3 linked regions of the Sus scrofa genome follow. The protein of the gene in region 1 binds, or shares a complex with, the protein of each later gene. Links are inferred from orthologs where the notes say so. Each region holds a gene or a part of one and is shown on either strand. Other genes may lie near its edges.

Region 1 (4,614 bases):
TATCTTAATGAGCCTAACTCTCATAAATTAAAATATTAAAGGCCCTATTAAGAGATCCCATGAAGAGAATACACAGTATTCATCAGAATCTCCAATCTTCCTATTTCACAAGTGCTCAGATGTGCAGCACCTCTTTTACAGGCACAAACAGGTTTGTGCCTCAGTTTCCACATTTATGAAATTAGAATTGGAAGGAAAAAACGACTGCAAGGTCTTTTGAGCTGCTGTAATTTACTTGATTTTCATGGTGTCAAGTTAAGATGGATTAAAAAGAGGATTCTGGGCATCATTAGGTTTCCTCTTTTTCGGGGAGGGGGGGCATTATTTGCTGAGAATCACCATTTTAAAGTGCAAATGTGTGACACTGGCTTGGGCAGTAAACCCCAGCGCCAGAGGCTGTCAATCTACTTTGACAAGGGCTAGGACACCTGGGGAAAGGTTAGCCCAGTGATGCAAGGTGTGTGGAGAGCAACAGTCCCAAATTAACTGGAGACATTGTGCAAAGGTGTTTGAGATTTAAGGTACCGTTAGCATCACACTTGGTTGAAATTAGTATTCAACTAGCAAGCTAGTGTGCCTAGGAAAGATTCTAGACTTTTCTAGGCTTATACTTTGAAATCAAATCATATGCATATTAATAGTCACACAGCATAATCCCACCTTTAGAAGTCTTGCCAACACTCCAACATATGTATCATTTAATTATTGTCATTGCAAATGCATCAACACCAAAGAGACTTATTTTCACTTAATTAGTAATTTTCTGCTTTAGATGAACCTGGACCCAGGAGAACAAAGACGTGACCCATCAAAAGAAGCCAACCCTGCTCCACCACAAAGAAAAAAAAACAGCCCTTTTATATTTTATTCTTTACAATCAAGCTGTTTTGTTGATATGCGACCATGAACTAGGTCTTAACCTAGCAAATTCACAAATTAACTCAGCCAAATTACCAAGGAAGTGGAAAACTTCCATACTAATTAATGCTTGTGTGATTCTTCTGGTCATTTCAACAATTTCTCTTATGCTTCTTTTACTTATTTTTTCCAAAGCAGCACCTTGGAGGAAAAAAGGGGGGAAAGGGCCCTCTCTTTATAGTTACCACGCCTTTTTTTTTTTTTTTTTTTTTTTTGGCCAGAGAGGAAAAACCGCAATCAAAAGAGAAAAACCCAAATCCAAACAACCAAATGTCACTTGACAAACAACTAATTAATGTATTCTCATCTCCTTCCACCTGGGAAAAGTCTTTTTCCTTAAAGCGCTCTCAAGCCCCCCTCCCACCTTGAAAAGGACAGAAAAACCACGCCATTTCCAGACCAAGAAGCCATTTCCAGACAAATGTCATTTTCCAGTTCTGATTTGTGAATGTCTTTTTTTTTTTTTTTTCAACAAAGCACTCTCAATGTGGCCGACTAACAGGAAAATGTGTGTGTGTGTGTGTGTGTGTTAATGGTTTATGGGGGGGCGCTGCTGCGGGGGGGGGGCAGCAGCTGCTACAATTAATTCTCTTCTTTGCTTTTCAAAAAGCCTGCATATCTGGAAGGGGAAAAAAAGGTCATACTGTAAAATGACGTGTCATTTGGCTTCACTGGGCACTTAGCGTACTAACTCCATGTTTTTTGTTTTTTGTTTTTTTTTTTCGGGCTCATTTTATTTGATTCTCCTCTTCCTTCCACGGCCCGGGACACGTCTGCTCCGCGCACACAGTGTGTCCTGCCCGAAACGCACCAAGTCGCGCCCAGCGGCCGCCGCGCTCCCTCCTCCCCGCCCCCCCCAGTCCGGCGCCACGACTCGCCCGCGCCCCCTCCCCCTCGCTGCACCACCTTTACCACTCCGGTCCCTTCCGAGGGGCTGATGTCACCCGCCCCCCCCCCACTCTCCTCGGCCACTTCCCCCGCCACAGCTCCCCTCGGCGAGGCCCCCTCTGTCGCTGCGGCGCCCCCCCCCGCGTCACCCCCTCCTCTACTAGCCCCTTTCTTTCTTTCTTTCTCCCTGTCCCTCTCCCAACAAATCACACACCCCACGGAGGCGGGTCCCCCTCCCTCTGCCCGCCACCCCATTTCCTGTCCCCGAAACCCTCTTTTTGTCGCAGTCTCGGGAGCCCTGTGGGACTCCCCTCCCCCTCCCCAACACGCACCCAAACCCCTGGCGTCGTGTAGGCCTCGCGGAAAAAGAGACAGAGAAAAGAGCGAGGGGAGGGCGAAAGAGAGACAGAGAGCGGCGGGCCGGGGGAGGGGGACCCGCGCCCGCGTCGCCAAGGCCCCCCGCCCCGTTTTGAGCCCCCGCCCGGCCAAATTGCGCCCCGGGGTCCCCCTTCCGGCCTCGCCCCCCAGAGACTGAACCCGCGGGCGGGCGGCGGGCTCGGGAGCGCGCGCCCGGGGCGGGGGCGGGCTCGGCGCGCGCAGCCTGCGGGGCGCCCCGAGGGGCCCCCGGGCCGGGCCGGGGCCGGCGCCCCCCGCCCCGCCCTTACCCAGCAGCAGCAGGCGGTGCGTGGCCCGGTAGACCTGCTTGTCCTTCTGCAGCTGCTTCTCGATCTTTTTGTTGGCCTCGCGCTGCGCCTTCTCCTCGTTGCGCTGGTCCTCGGTCTTACTGTTTCCGAGACAGCCCATGGCGGCGGCGGCGGGGCGCGGGGCGCGGCCGGGCTGCGGCGGCGGCGGCGGGGCCGGGCGCGGGCGGCCTCACGCGGGCCGAGAGGGCCGGGGCAGCGCCGGGCGGGCGGGCCGGGCGCGGGCTCGGCTCCTCGGGGAGGAGCGCGCGGGGAGGGTGGTGTCGGTCTGACCGAGGGGAGCGCGCGGCTCCCGGCCCCTCGCGCCGAAGCCGAGGGGTCTGATGGCCGCCGCGGGGCGAGGCGGACCAGAGCAGGAGCTGCGGGAGCTGCTGCCGCCGCTGCCGCCGCCGCCGCTCTTATTGCCTCGGCCGGGGCCCCGCCGCCGCCCCGACCCAAAGCTCCGCGGCGGGCGGGGGGAGGCGGGGGGAGGAGGAGGCGGCGGCGGCGAGGGGGGTGGAAGGAGGAGGAGGAGGAGGGATGAGGAGCAGCCGCGGCAGCGGCCGCGGCGGCGGGGAGGGCGGGAGCTGGCGGAGGGAGGCGCCCCCCCGGTATCCGGGGAGGGGGGTCCCTCCGCCTGCGCCCGGCCCGGGACGGGACAGGCCTGGGAGACGCCCCCTCACCCCCCTGGCTCGGGCCCCAAACGGGGCCGGCCGCGGGGGGAGAGGGGGCGTCTCCGAGCCGGTGACGACCCCTCGCACGACGCCAACGCTCCACCCCCGGGCCGCGTCGCCCGGCGGCCCCCGAGGCCGAGGCCCCCCCCCACCTCCCGCGGGCGCCGCCGAGGGGCCGGGGTGGGCGGAAGGGGAGGGAGCGCGAGCCCGAGCCCGGACTTAGGAAAATTTTCGAAAAGAAGAGAGAGACACAGAGAGAGCCAGAGAGCAGGGAGTGTGGAAAAAGCGAGGCGAGCACGAACCAAAGGACAGAGCAACCGAAAAGGAAAATGTGTCCAAACACACACACAAATGCTCAATAAAACTCCACACTACACAGCGATGGTGGTGTCTGGTGGCGGTGGCGGGGGAGGGGGCGGGGGGTCTGACTAGACGAACCGCTCGTCGAGCCCCCGGCGCCGGGCGCCATGGCCCGAGCCGAAGGCACCCGAGGCCCCGGTGCGCCCGCGGCCTCTGCGCTTGGCCCGGCCGCCCAAGAAGGAGAAGAAGGCGCAGCCCAGGAACATTCGGAAGCAGCAGGTCGCCCCGAAAAAGAAGCCGCAGCCGCGGCCCTGCTCCGGGCGCTTCTGCAGCAGGAAGTCGAGCACCCACGCGGGGCTGCGCACGGAGAAGACGAGGAAGGCCAGGAGTGGCAGGTGGGAGCTCAGCCCGCCGATCTTGAGCAGCCCGGACCCCCACGAGGTGCCCCTGAAGCCTGGAAAGGCGTCGGAGATGTCGTCGTCGTCCTCGTCGTCGTCGTCCTCGTCGTCGTCGTCGTCCTCGTCGCTCGAGTCCGAGTCCGTTTCCCACTCGACCCAGATCCTACTCATGCCCACGGTGCCGGCGTCCACGCCGCCCCCGTCGGCGCCCTCCGCGGCGCCCTCGGCGGCGGCGGCGGCGGCGGCGGCGGCGACCCCCGGGCCTCGGGCCTCCTCCGGGGCTTCGGGCACCTTCTTCTTCTTCTTCTTCGTCTTCTGCATCTTCTCCAACTTCTTCCTCTCCTTCTCCTTCTTCTTCTCTTCTTTTCTTTTCTGCTCCAGCAGCTTCTTCTCGATCTTCCGCTGCTCCTTTTCGGTGAGGAACTTCTCTTTCTCGGGGGGCGCGTCTCGCGCCGGCTTCTTGGGGGGCTTCTCGGCGTCCCCTTTCTTCTGCGGCGCGTGGGGCTCGGCCAGCGCTGCAGCCACCGCCGCAGCTTCGGCAGCAACCTCGGCCGCAGCCGCCGCCGTCTTCCTCCCGCTCCCCGACATTCGAGCTTTGATCTTCATGGCCATCTTCAGCATGGTGGCTTGGCCACCTCGGGGTGCCTGGCTCTCGCCTGGCCCGGGCGCCCTGCCTGCCCCCGGCCTCGGGCTGGCCGGACCCCGTGCGCCCCGTGTCGGGGGAGTCGGCTGCGATCCCCGCCTGCGCTGTCCCGG
Region 2 (4,097 bases), on another chromosome or scaffold:
GTTAATAATACCATAATACCGTATTTGTGGAGTTCCCGTTGTGGCGCAGCAGAAACAAATCCGACTGGCATCCATGAGGAGGTGGGTCTGATCCCTGGCCTCACTCGGTGGGTTAAGGATCTGGCCTTGCCGTGAGTTGTGGTGTAGGTAGAAGATGCGGCTCAGATCTGGCAATGCTGCGCTGTGGCTGTGGCGTAGGCTGGCGGCTTTAGCTCCGATTTGACCCCAAGCCTGGGAACCTCCATATGCTGTGAGTGTGGCCCTAAAAAGCAGAAAGAAATAAATAAGTAATAAAATAATAACACCGTATATTTGAAAGTTGCTGCAAGAGTAACTCTTAAGAGTTCTCGTCACAAGAAAGCAAACATTTCTGCGGTGACAGGGGTTAACTGGACTTAGTGTGGTCATCACTTCAGAACGTACACAGTATTAACCCAGTAGGTAGTGCGACCGAAACGAGCGTGTTCTCTGCCCACTACGCCTCAATGAAAACGAAAAGAAACGGTGTGGAGGGAGGAGACGCAACAGCATGGGCAAGGTGGTCCTGTGTGGAGGGTGCGGCCGCGTGCACGTACCTGTCGGGGCAGAGGGAGGCGTAGAGCAGGAGCAGGGGCCCGGCCCCAACGACCGTGGCCAGGGAGGACCTCATCCAGGAGCTGAGCTGGCAGAAGTTGCAGTAGTGCACCACGGCGATCAGGACAGCCGAGCCCGTGAACACGGTGGACTGCAACAGGGGCGGCCCGGGTCAGCAGCCCAGCCCCTTCCTCGCCACGCCGACCCACCTGCCCCCCCGCCCCCCGGGGCCCCGAAAGCAGACGCAAGGCCCAATGACCTGTCCTCCTGTTCAACAAAACACACAGCAATTTCCAGGACAGACGGTCAGTTGTGAGACCAATGACCCAGGGCTCTCGGCGACAAGCCTCACTGGTACTAAAATGCCTCTCTCAACGTGTGCAAGTTGCACACGTCACCTTGGGGGCGGGGGGGGGGGGAGGCAGACGGCCCTGGGTGAGAACGGCCACCGTGTCATCAGTTACCTCCCCAAGGTCTGTCCTTCAGGCACCCTGCTGCGTGTCAGGTGCGTGTAAGTTAAAGCGTCAAATGCGGTCAGCCTACCCAGTAACTCATGCTTCACTCTTTGGTACCAAACGTGCCATCTTTCCCATCAGCCTGAAATCACTCTTTATGAGGTTTAACTTGGCAGCTCCTTTCCTAATCAACAGCAGCCGATCCAGGAGCAAGTCGACTGGGCCAGTTCTGCAGACGAACTTATCATCATTTTTTTTTCCTCTTTAAAAAAAAATTATGTACAGCTGCAGACGAACTTATCATCATTTTTTTTCCTCTTTAAAAAAAAATTATGTACAGCTGATGCACAGCAGCTACCGCCCTGAAGCATCTGGAGATGCGGGACACGCCGCCTCGTCGAACGTGGAAGGAAGGAACAGACGTGGGACTTCGGGAACACGGGGGGAGGCTGGAGGGACACAGGCTCTGGGGACTCTCCCCAGGGCGTCGCAGGGGGTCCCTGGGCTGCCCCTCTCCCCCACCTGTCTGTTCCTCTGTCCTGTGAGCTCAGAGAACCGACAAAGAGCACGCACCTCTGTAAGGGCTGTGTTTAAACAGCTGACCTGAGCCGAAAGGCTTCTTTAAAAAAGACAGTGATGAGGGACCCAGAGGGGCGCAGACAGCAAGTCCCCAGGCCTTTACTTACGTGTATGTCCATCTCAAATTTGGAGGTGACGTGTGAGTAGACGGCGAGGGCGGGGAGGGACACCAGGATGGCCCCGATGCAGTGGTGCGGGAGCCAGCCAGCGATCCACTCCAGCAGGCGCTTGGTACAAGCCATCACGTCCTCCAGGAAGAACGCCATCCTGTGTGCGTGGGGGAAGCGGGGCGCCTGTGAGGGCTGAGCCCACCGGGGAGACATGGGCGCCAGCCCGGGGGGCAGGCAGAGCCCCCGCTTCGGTCACTGCTGGGGGGGCAAGGACAGTGGACTCTCTCAGCCCATCACCCCTTAGTTTAAGGTCACCTGCTGGGTCCTGATAAGACGTGCTCTAGCAGAGGCCTCTGTGGGCCTGAAAGGCATGTAAGAGCCAGGCCGGCAACACTCTCAGGCCCTGGAAATGTCGGTCCCCTGCTGCCTGCCTCCGGGGCAGGAGGTCTCGAGTGGGTGGCTCAGGAGGTGTGTGGAATTTGGGGGGCTTTTTGTTGCCTTGGTGGTCGAGGGTGCCATGGCCTCCAGCAGGCAGGACTAGGGGTGGGCACTGTCCTGTGATGGACCATGAGCCTCTGCCCTGCGCCCCACACGTCACCGCCCTCCAGACACAGAAAACCTGCTGAACTGACCTCTACCTAGAGCCTAATTGCCTTTCGTTTGCAAACAAAACAGGAACATACAGAATTTTCCAGGAGCGCAGCAAATGGCTAAACCAGACAAGCTTTATCTGGGACATCACCAAGGGTTGCTCAGCCTCTCAGAAGTCCTGTCACAGGCTCCTGGGGCTCGTACCACCAGACACACTGTACCAGGAGCTGTCACCTTCTCTGCGCATGAGGGCAAACAGCTGACGCCTGTGGTGTGGCCCCCAGGTGGCGGAGGCCAGCGCACTGGAGGGGAAGCGTTACCTACATGATTCTAAGCGGCTTTCTTGCCGTTTTGCCTTCACGTGGAGAGGTGGCCTTCCACTGACTGCCTTTGAAATTGTGGGTCCAGGTGGGCTACACCTGCAGGCAGTGAGGCGGCACTGCAGACTGTTTCTCCCAAGAAGGGGGAGCTGAGCGCATGGGACTGAGAAACCCTGCTCTGCAGGAGGAATTCCTGGGTCGGAAGCAGCGGGAGGTGGAGGGGAGGGCGCTGGGGGTCCGCCCTGGGAGGGAGACCCACCACAGGCCCTCCCCAGAGCTGGCCCTCGGTGGAGAATGGAGCTGAGAGAGGTCCGCCATGCTCATCTCAAAGGCACAAAGCCCGCCAAGGCCTCTCGCACGCACCCAGGGTCCAAGCCTTTGGTTCCACAGGTAGGTCCTGGGATCCCCGACCCGCCCTCTGCAGAGCAAGAGGAACCTGCAGGCACAGCTGGGCCCGGGGTCCTCATGGCCCACGGGCCTCTGCGGACTCCAAGCTGACTTGGCCCAGATTCTTTCCAACTGGGTCTGAAGAACAGGGGACAACCTTGAAAACAATTCTCAGAACAGGTATGGAGACACCCTTGCCTCAGAGGAATGGAGCTCCCCACCCAGTTGGGACAGAGACCCAGGGCAGGGAGGGCAGTGACTGCACGTGGGTCCCGGGTACCTTGGCAGGGGCACGGAGCCAAGGCCCAGAGGGCAGGCAGGCCCAGGGCAGGGCTGTGCTGTGGGGTCACCTGCCCTGGGCAGTGCAGCTCCAAGCCAGTGGAGAGTCCGGGGAGATGGGGGGATGTGCTTTAGAGGTCTCTCCGCCTGGGGGAGGTGGGGGGGGCGTGGGGCCTCTGGCCGTCAGGGACAGCCCTGGGCAAAGAGCTGAAGGGGATTGGGGGGGGCAGTCGGGAAAGGAGGGGGCACGTGTCCAGCTTGACCACTTCAAAGGGAGGGATCTTGCATCAGGAAGCCTCAGGGGCAGACCCAGAGCTGTGGTTCCCTGTCCTGGGATGTCGGGAAGGGGCAGAAGCTCAAGGCCAGGGCCGGTCTCCCCACTTCTCTCTGCTCCCTCGTGTGGGCTGTCCTGCTGAGAGCCGCAGGGCTGGAGGGGTGGGCCCAGTGCAAGGACCCAGGCCGTGGCACGAGAGGCGCTGTGATGTCTGTGTTCACGTGAGCGGGGGCCTGGGTATCTGTATCCAGCAGCAACGCTGTGAGCTTCCTGGGGGGCCACACTGAACCCTGAAGGCAGGCTGGGCAGGTCCTGAGGGCCCAGCTTCCCAGAGGGGCCCAGCTGTCTATTCTGACCCACAATCCACTTTCAAACGGGTGCTTCCCTTGTTATCACTGAGCCAATGCTCTAGATATCAGCTCAGAGACCACTGCCTGAGAGAGCAGACGAAGACCCAGGCCTGTGCTTTCCTCTCCAGTCTGGTCTCACCGCTGGGCCCAGGAGGGCTGTCTACACACCCACCCCTTCT
Region 3 (4,872 bases), on another chromosome or scaffold:
TACAGCATTAGGCAATTTACTTATGTTATCTCATTTCATCTCTTTAACTCCACAGATAGGAAGGTATGAGTATGCCTAATTTATATATGAATAAGCTGAGATTCAGAGAGGTTAAATAACTCCCCCTGGGTCACAAAGCTAAGCCAGTGTCTGAGTCGATGCAAATAAAAAATAAATAAACAGGAATTTCAGAATGAAAGTCTAAAATACTCTTGAGAACAGACTGCTTGAAGCACCTTCAGGCATCTGGCTTATTGGTGACCTAGACTCTGAGAGGAGTTTCAGCTTCCAGTTTTTGACCAAATAAAGCATCTGTCTCATAGGAATATTAAGCCACCCCATTTACTTTTTGTGTCCTCATTATCCCATTTGTCCCTGAAGACAAGCTGGGTTTTACATCAGGTGCTCTAGTAAATTATCCTTCTAAATGGTACCTTAATGGCCTAATAAGAAGAAGAAAGCAACTCCCCCAGTGCCAGTCTGTAGACAAGGGACTAACTAATGCATTTATTAAAGCAGATGGATTTTAGAGGAATTTGAATCCTGGGAAGGCCGTCACTTTTTGCTGGAGTTCGGTAAACTAGGCTTTATAACTTTTTTTTTTCTTTTCTCCTTCCAGCACCCATCTGCACCATATGGAAGTTCCCTGGTTATGGGTCGAATGGGAGCTGCAACTGAGGCCTAGCCACAGCCATGGGTAACACCAGATGCCAGCCACATCTACACCTACCTGCATCTTGGGGCAAGGGTTGGGGGGTGTTCACTGAAAGAGGTCAGGGATTGAACCCGCATCTTCGTAGCCCAATGAGCTACAACCTAAACTCTGATAACGTCTTAAACTGATTCTTTTGCTGCCCTGTTTCTCTCCCTTCCTTTTCTTCCCTCCCTTCCTAAGGCAGTTTTACCGTTCGGTTCAACTTTTTTGTCCCTTTCTTAAGATTGCTACACAGAAAATACAAGAGGCTAGGGATGGCACATAACGTGGGGAGAAGGGACGTGGAAAAAAAGCAATATGAGAAGGAATTGTTCTGTTCTCTGATCTGGCCGCACCCTGATCTGTGTATTGTGATTATTGCTCCCCGGCCTTTAGGTTCAGAGCGAGGGGAGAGTAGCATTGTAAAGATCTGTTTACACCCACCCTGCCACTCGCAAGGGCTCTGGGGTCCGCAAAGGCTGGCTTCGAGGTCGATTCACTGTGATATTGCCAGGGCACAGGACAGTGCCTGGATGAATGAAAGGGGAGCAGGAAAGGCGATGCCAGGAGGAGTCCACGGCGAGATAGGAGCAGGAGAATGGGACTGTGCGGACCCTACAGGAAGAATCCGAAAGTGTGATAGAGAAATGGAAAAGGGGATGTCCCAACGGCTGGAACTGAGACGAGCAACGGGATCGGGGAAGGCCCGAGGAAGGACCAGAAAGGTTTACGGGAGAAAAGTGGTGCGAGCCGAAAGGGTAGGGGCGAGACAAAGAGCAGGAGCTGAGGCCAATCGTGGGAAGAAATGGCAAAGTGGCCGGGAGGGAGGGCAGACGCCAAGGAAGGGGCGTGAGGGATGGGAAGCGGCGGCGCCCGGGAGGGGAGGGGCAGCTGCGCGCGGGGCTCGGGCGGGGCCGAGCGGGGGATTGGGGAGGCCCGCGGGCGTAGGGGCTGCGCCGGGGCGGCGGAGGAGGGGCGGGCGGCGCCGGCGGAGGAGGGGCGCGAGCGCCGCAAAGTTACTTGGCCTGCGCCGGGCCGGGTCCTCGTGCTGGTGGCGGGGCGGCGGGAGGAGCGAAGCGGGGCTCCGCGGGCTGAAACCCGAAACCTCCGGTCCCCGAGCGCGGCCGGGAGGAAGGAAGCAGCGGCCGAGGCGGGGAGGCGGCCCGGCCGGACCCTGAACTGCTGCTGCGGCGGCGGCTCCTCGGTGAGTACCGGCTGGGGCACGGGCGGGGATGGAGTGGGGGTGAGTTCATTGTGTCGGGCTGGAGGGCACGGGGGTGCAGGCCGAGCGGGGTCTCCGCGCCCCCTTCCCCCAGGCCTCCCTGCCCCCACAGCGCTTTTCTTCCCTCCGCGCCCCCTTGGAGGTAAGGGGGATGTCCCCCCCGCCTCAGTCCGTTTTGCTTCGGGGAGCCCTGGCTCTTTGTGGGAAGATCTTGGGGGCGCGCCCCTCCTCTACATCGAGGGGCTTCTGAGAGGCCCTTGCCTCTAGCCTGCCTGGTTTCTCCGGCGCCGCCTGAAGCCCCCTTTCGAGACCCCCAGGAAGGGAGAACATTGGCGCTTCCCCAGAACCCAGCTGATGGGGGTCGTGCCCCCTCGGTCCATGGAGCTTTACGCCCTGCTCCGGGACAGATGTGTGGGGCTAAGCGGCCTCGACCCTCAGCTGCAATCCGTGAGGACCAGGTGAGTTACATCCTCCCAGTCGGGGCTCAGGGCGGTGCTACTGGAGCTGGGCGGAGGATGCACCCAGAAGTCGCCCGGCCCAGCTAGCCGCCGCCAGATGGGCGATTCTCCTCATATCTGCGAGAGGGAGACTCGGTTAGCTTTGGGGGGACTTGGTCTGCTTTCTGCGCCAGAGCTTAACCCCCGTGCAACCTTTTGATAAAGATATGTAGGGTAAGAATGTCTGTTGGATTCTCGGATGCTCTGGGGTGCATCAAAAGGATCTGCTCTCTAGTAACCACACAGCGGTGCGTTGGCATCACTTTATCGCACATCTTTGAGACTATTTTTGTCCGTTAATGTGTCTTTAATTCGTTTTGTGAAGTGCTTTCAAGAGCAGGTCATTTGCTCCTCCTTGTGAAGGTGGTATGGTTTTGGAGGGAAACGGTTTCAGTTCCTTGATGGGGATAATGATAACACCGAAATCATTAGCCTAAATCAGCCAGCGGGGCGTGGGGGTGAGGTGGGCGTCATTGTGCCCTCTCCCCATCCAGCCAGCACGGATTCAGCCTCACCTCTTCTCCTCCTGTGACCTGGACCTGGAAATGAGCTTTGGAGAGTTACTACATTGGGAAGTAGTAGGTGGCTTTCCCTTATAATCCTTCTTACTGCAGCCAGGAAGACAGGTGAGGAAAGGCATTTTCCAGGCCCCCAGAGGAAAGCAAGGAAATGAGAGGGACCTCAGATCGCAGGGATAGGGACTTTTCATCCAACTCTCTTTAACTGAGCTTCAGTCATCCATTTTGGTCACTTCTTCCACAGCACCCCTTTTTTTCCTGTCTCAATTTCACACTCATACTTCTAAAACGCTTCCAAACACTTTTATATACACTTTTAAATTTCATTCATATAACAGCCCTGTGAAGTATTTATAAGCCAGTTTTACAGGTGAGGCAGCTGAGACTCAAAAGGGGAAAAGTACTCTGCTCAGCAAGCAGGGAGCCAAGATTGAACTCAGGTTTTTTGACTTAATGCTTTTCATTCAGGGCTCCATCACACAGGTGGGTCCTTGAACTCAGGACTTTGTCTTGCACTACAGCTCCATCACCATGACAGGAAGAATAGGGATTCTTCCCAAAAAGGCCTGCCTTGCATTTAGAATTGAAATTCATGCTGCAGGTAGTCAAATCATCCTCTTTGTGTTGCAGCCCTGTGCAGTGAGTTTGAGAGATGAGGCTGGACCATGTGATCAGAAGGGCGGGGTTGGTTGGTTGGGTTCAATGGAAGGCAGAATGGGCTAAGCTGAATCTAGAATGTCAGGCAAAGGAGGTACATACAGTTCTGTAATATAAACTTTGCTGCCAGGGCCAGTCAGGAAGCCTGCCTGGGTGCTGGAGGAGAGCAAGCAAGAGAGTTGTGTGGGGGCTGTGTGTAGAGCATGCCTTGGTGGACAAGGTTCTAGCACATTGCTTGATCTGAATTGGGTAGGGGGAGGGGGAAGCTGCAAATTTTTGTGGAAGAAAGCTCCATGTTTTTAAAGTTGGCAACTAATTCAAAACATTTTGCAAAATGTACAGGACAACCAAATTATGTGTGCAGGCTGGTTATGATCTGCAGACTGCCAGCTTGCAACCTTAGGAAGTACTTGCTGTTGTTCCAAGGTGCAATAAAGCATGACTAGAGGGGAGAAGTGGTGTTTTCTGGCTGTTTTTCTTTGAGATCCAAAAACATCCACAGAATTGGAGATACCTATCAGTGCTACCTGGAGTTTGGAGGAAGGATTGACTTTATGACTCAATACTTCATTCATTCAGCCAGTAGTAATCTCATCTGTGATTCTAGTCCTACCCCAAGAGAGTGCTTACAGCTAGTTTTGATCTGTTTCCTTGGCCGATTTATATGCTCAGCTGGGTGGAGGATGGCATTGATGGAAGATATGTTGAGGGAATGCTGGGAGCATTCCCAAGGAAGCTTTGGGAACATTCCACATTTTCAATGTGGCTAGAGATAAAACAATGGAATATAGTAATTTTTTAGAAGTATGAGTTATTACAAAAGATTTTTAAAATATAAAATATATATAGGAAAATAAATTTAAGTTCCTCCACTCCTCTCTCCATCTGAGAGGTAACTACTGTACAGATATTATTTTCCAGGTCTTTTTCAGTGCAGCAATACATTAGGGAGTCCTGCTGTGGCTTAGCAGGTTAAGGACCTCACATTGTCTCTGTGTAATGTGGATTCGATCCATGACCTGGCTCAGTGGGTTAAGGATCTGGATCTGGCATTGCCCCAAGCTGCAGCGTAGGGCACAGATGCAGCTCAGATCTGCTGTTGCCATGGCTTGTGGCATAGGTCTCAGCCGCAGCTCGGTTTAGACCCCTGGCCCAGGAACTTCCAAATGCTGCAGGAGCTTCATGTGCTCAGGAACTTCCATATGCCATATGTATGTAAAAAAAATACATTGGGATCATATATAATTATATGGTATGACTTTTTTGACTTAACAATAAGACTTG

The links.
Region 2: the proteins of GNAS (region 1) and ADCY9 are in contact, whole or in part, in a cryo-EM structure (PDB 9U3P), measured with the Homo sapiens proteins. The link is inferred for Sus scrofa from reciprocal best matches to the Homo sapiens genes GNAS and ADCY9. Residues at the interface, in NP_000507.1 of Homo sapiens: Ile207, Glu209, Phe222, Arg228, Arg231, Arg232, Lys233, Trp234, Ile235, Gln236, Phe238, Asn239, Glu268, Leu272, Ser275, Ile276, Asn278, Asn279, Arg280, Trp281; in NP_001107.2 of Homo sapiens: Ala381, Phe382, Arg383, Phe1070, Glu1072, Tyr1075, Glu1076, Glu1080, Cys1081, Arg1083, Val1084, Glu1087, Asp1091, Phe1152, Asn1155, Met1156, Leu1157, Trp1158, Phe1159.
Region 3: the proteins of GNAS (region 1) and GPR161 are in contact, whole or in part, in a cryo-EM structure (PDB 8SMV), measured with the Homo sapiens proteins. The link is inferred for Sus scrofa from reciprocal best matches to the Homo sapiens genes GNAS and GPR161. Residues at the interface, in NP_000507.1 of Homo sapiens: His41, Lys216, Val217, Phe219, Phe376, Cys379, Arg380, Asp381, Ile383, Gln384, Arg385, His387, Leu388, Tyr391, Glu392, Leu393, Leu394; in NP_001254539.1 of Homo sapiens: Arg125, Ala128, Val129, Leu130, Pro132, Met133, Met137, Ile211, Val214, Ala215, Lys218, Ala219, Lys267, Ala268, Thr271, Ile272, Trp327.

Annotation. Positions count from the first base shown.
Region 1 is NC_010459.5:59,032,444-59,037,057, reverse strand, and holds the start of GNAS (guanine nucleotide-binding protein G(s) subunit alpha), read right to left. Parts: upstream 2,953-4,614; 5' UTR 2,611-2,952; coding exon 2,472-2,610; intron 2,207-2,471; exon of another isoform or gene 2,139-2,206; intron 1-2,138. UniProt on the Homo sapiens protein: Guanine nucleotide-binding proteins (G proteins) function as transducers in numerous signaling pathways controlled by G protein-coupled receptors (GPCRs).
Region 2 is NC_010445.4:38,284,540-38,288,636, reverse strand, and holds part of ADCY9 (adenylate cyclase type 9), read right to left. Parts: intron 1,875-4,097; coding exon 1,715-1,874; intron 725-1,714; coding exon 576-724; intron 1-575. UniProt on the Homo sapiens protein: Adenylyl cyclase that catalyzes the formation of the signaling molecule cAMP in response to activation of G protein-coupled receptors.
Region 3 is NC_010446.5:82,843,266-82,848,137, forward strand, and holds the start of GPR161 (G-protein coupled receptor 161), read left to right. Parts: upstream 1-1,678; 5' UTR 1,679-1,898; intron 1,899-4,872. UniProt on the Homo sapiens protein: Key negative regulator of Shh signaling, which promotes the processing of GLI3 into GLI3R during neural tube development.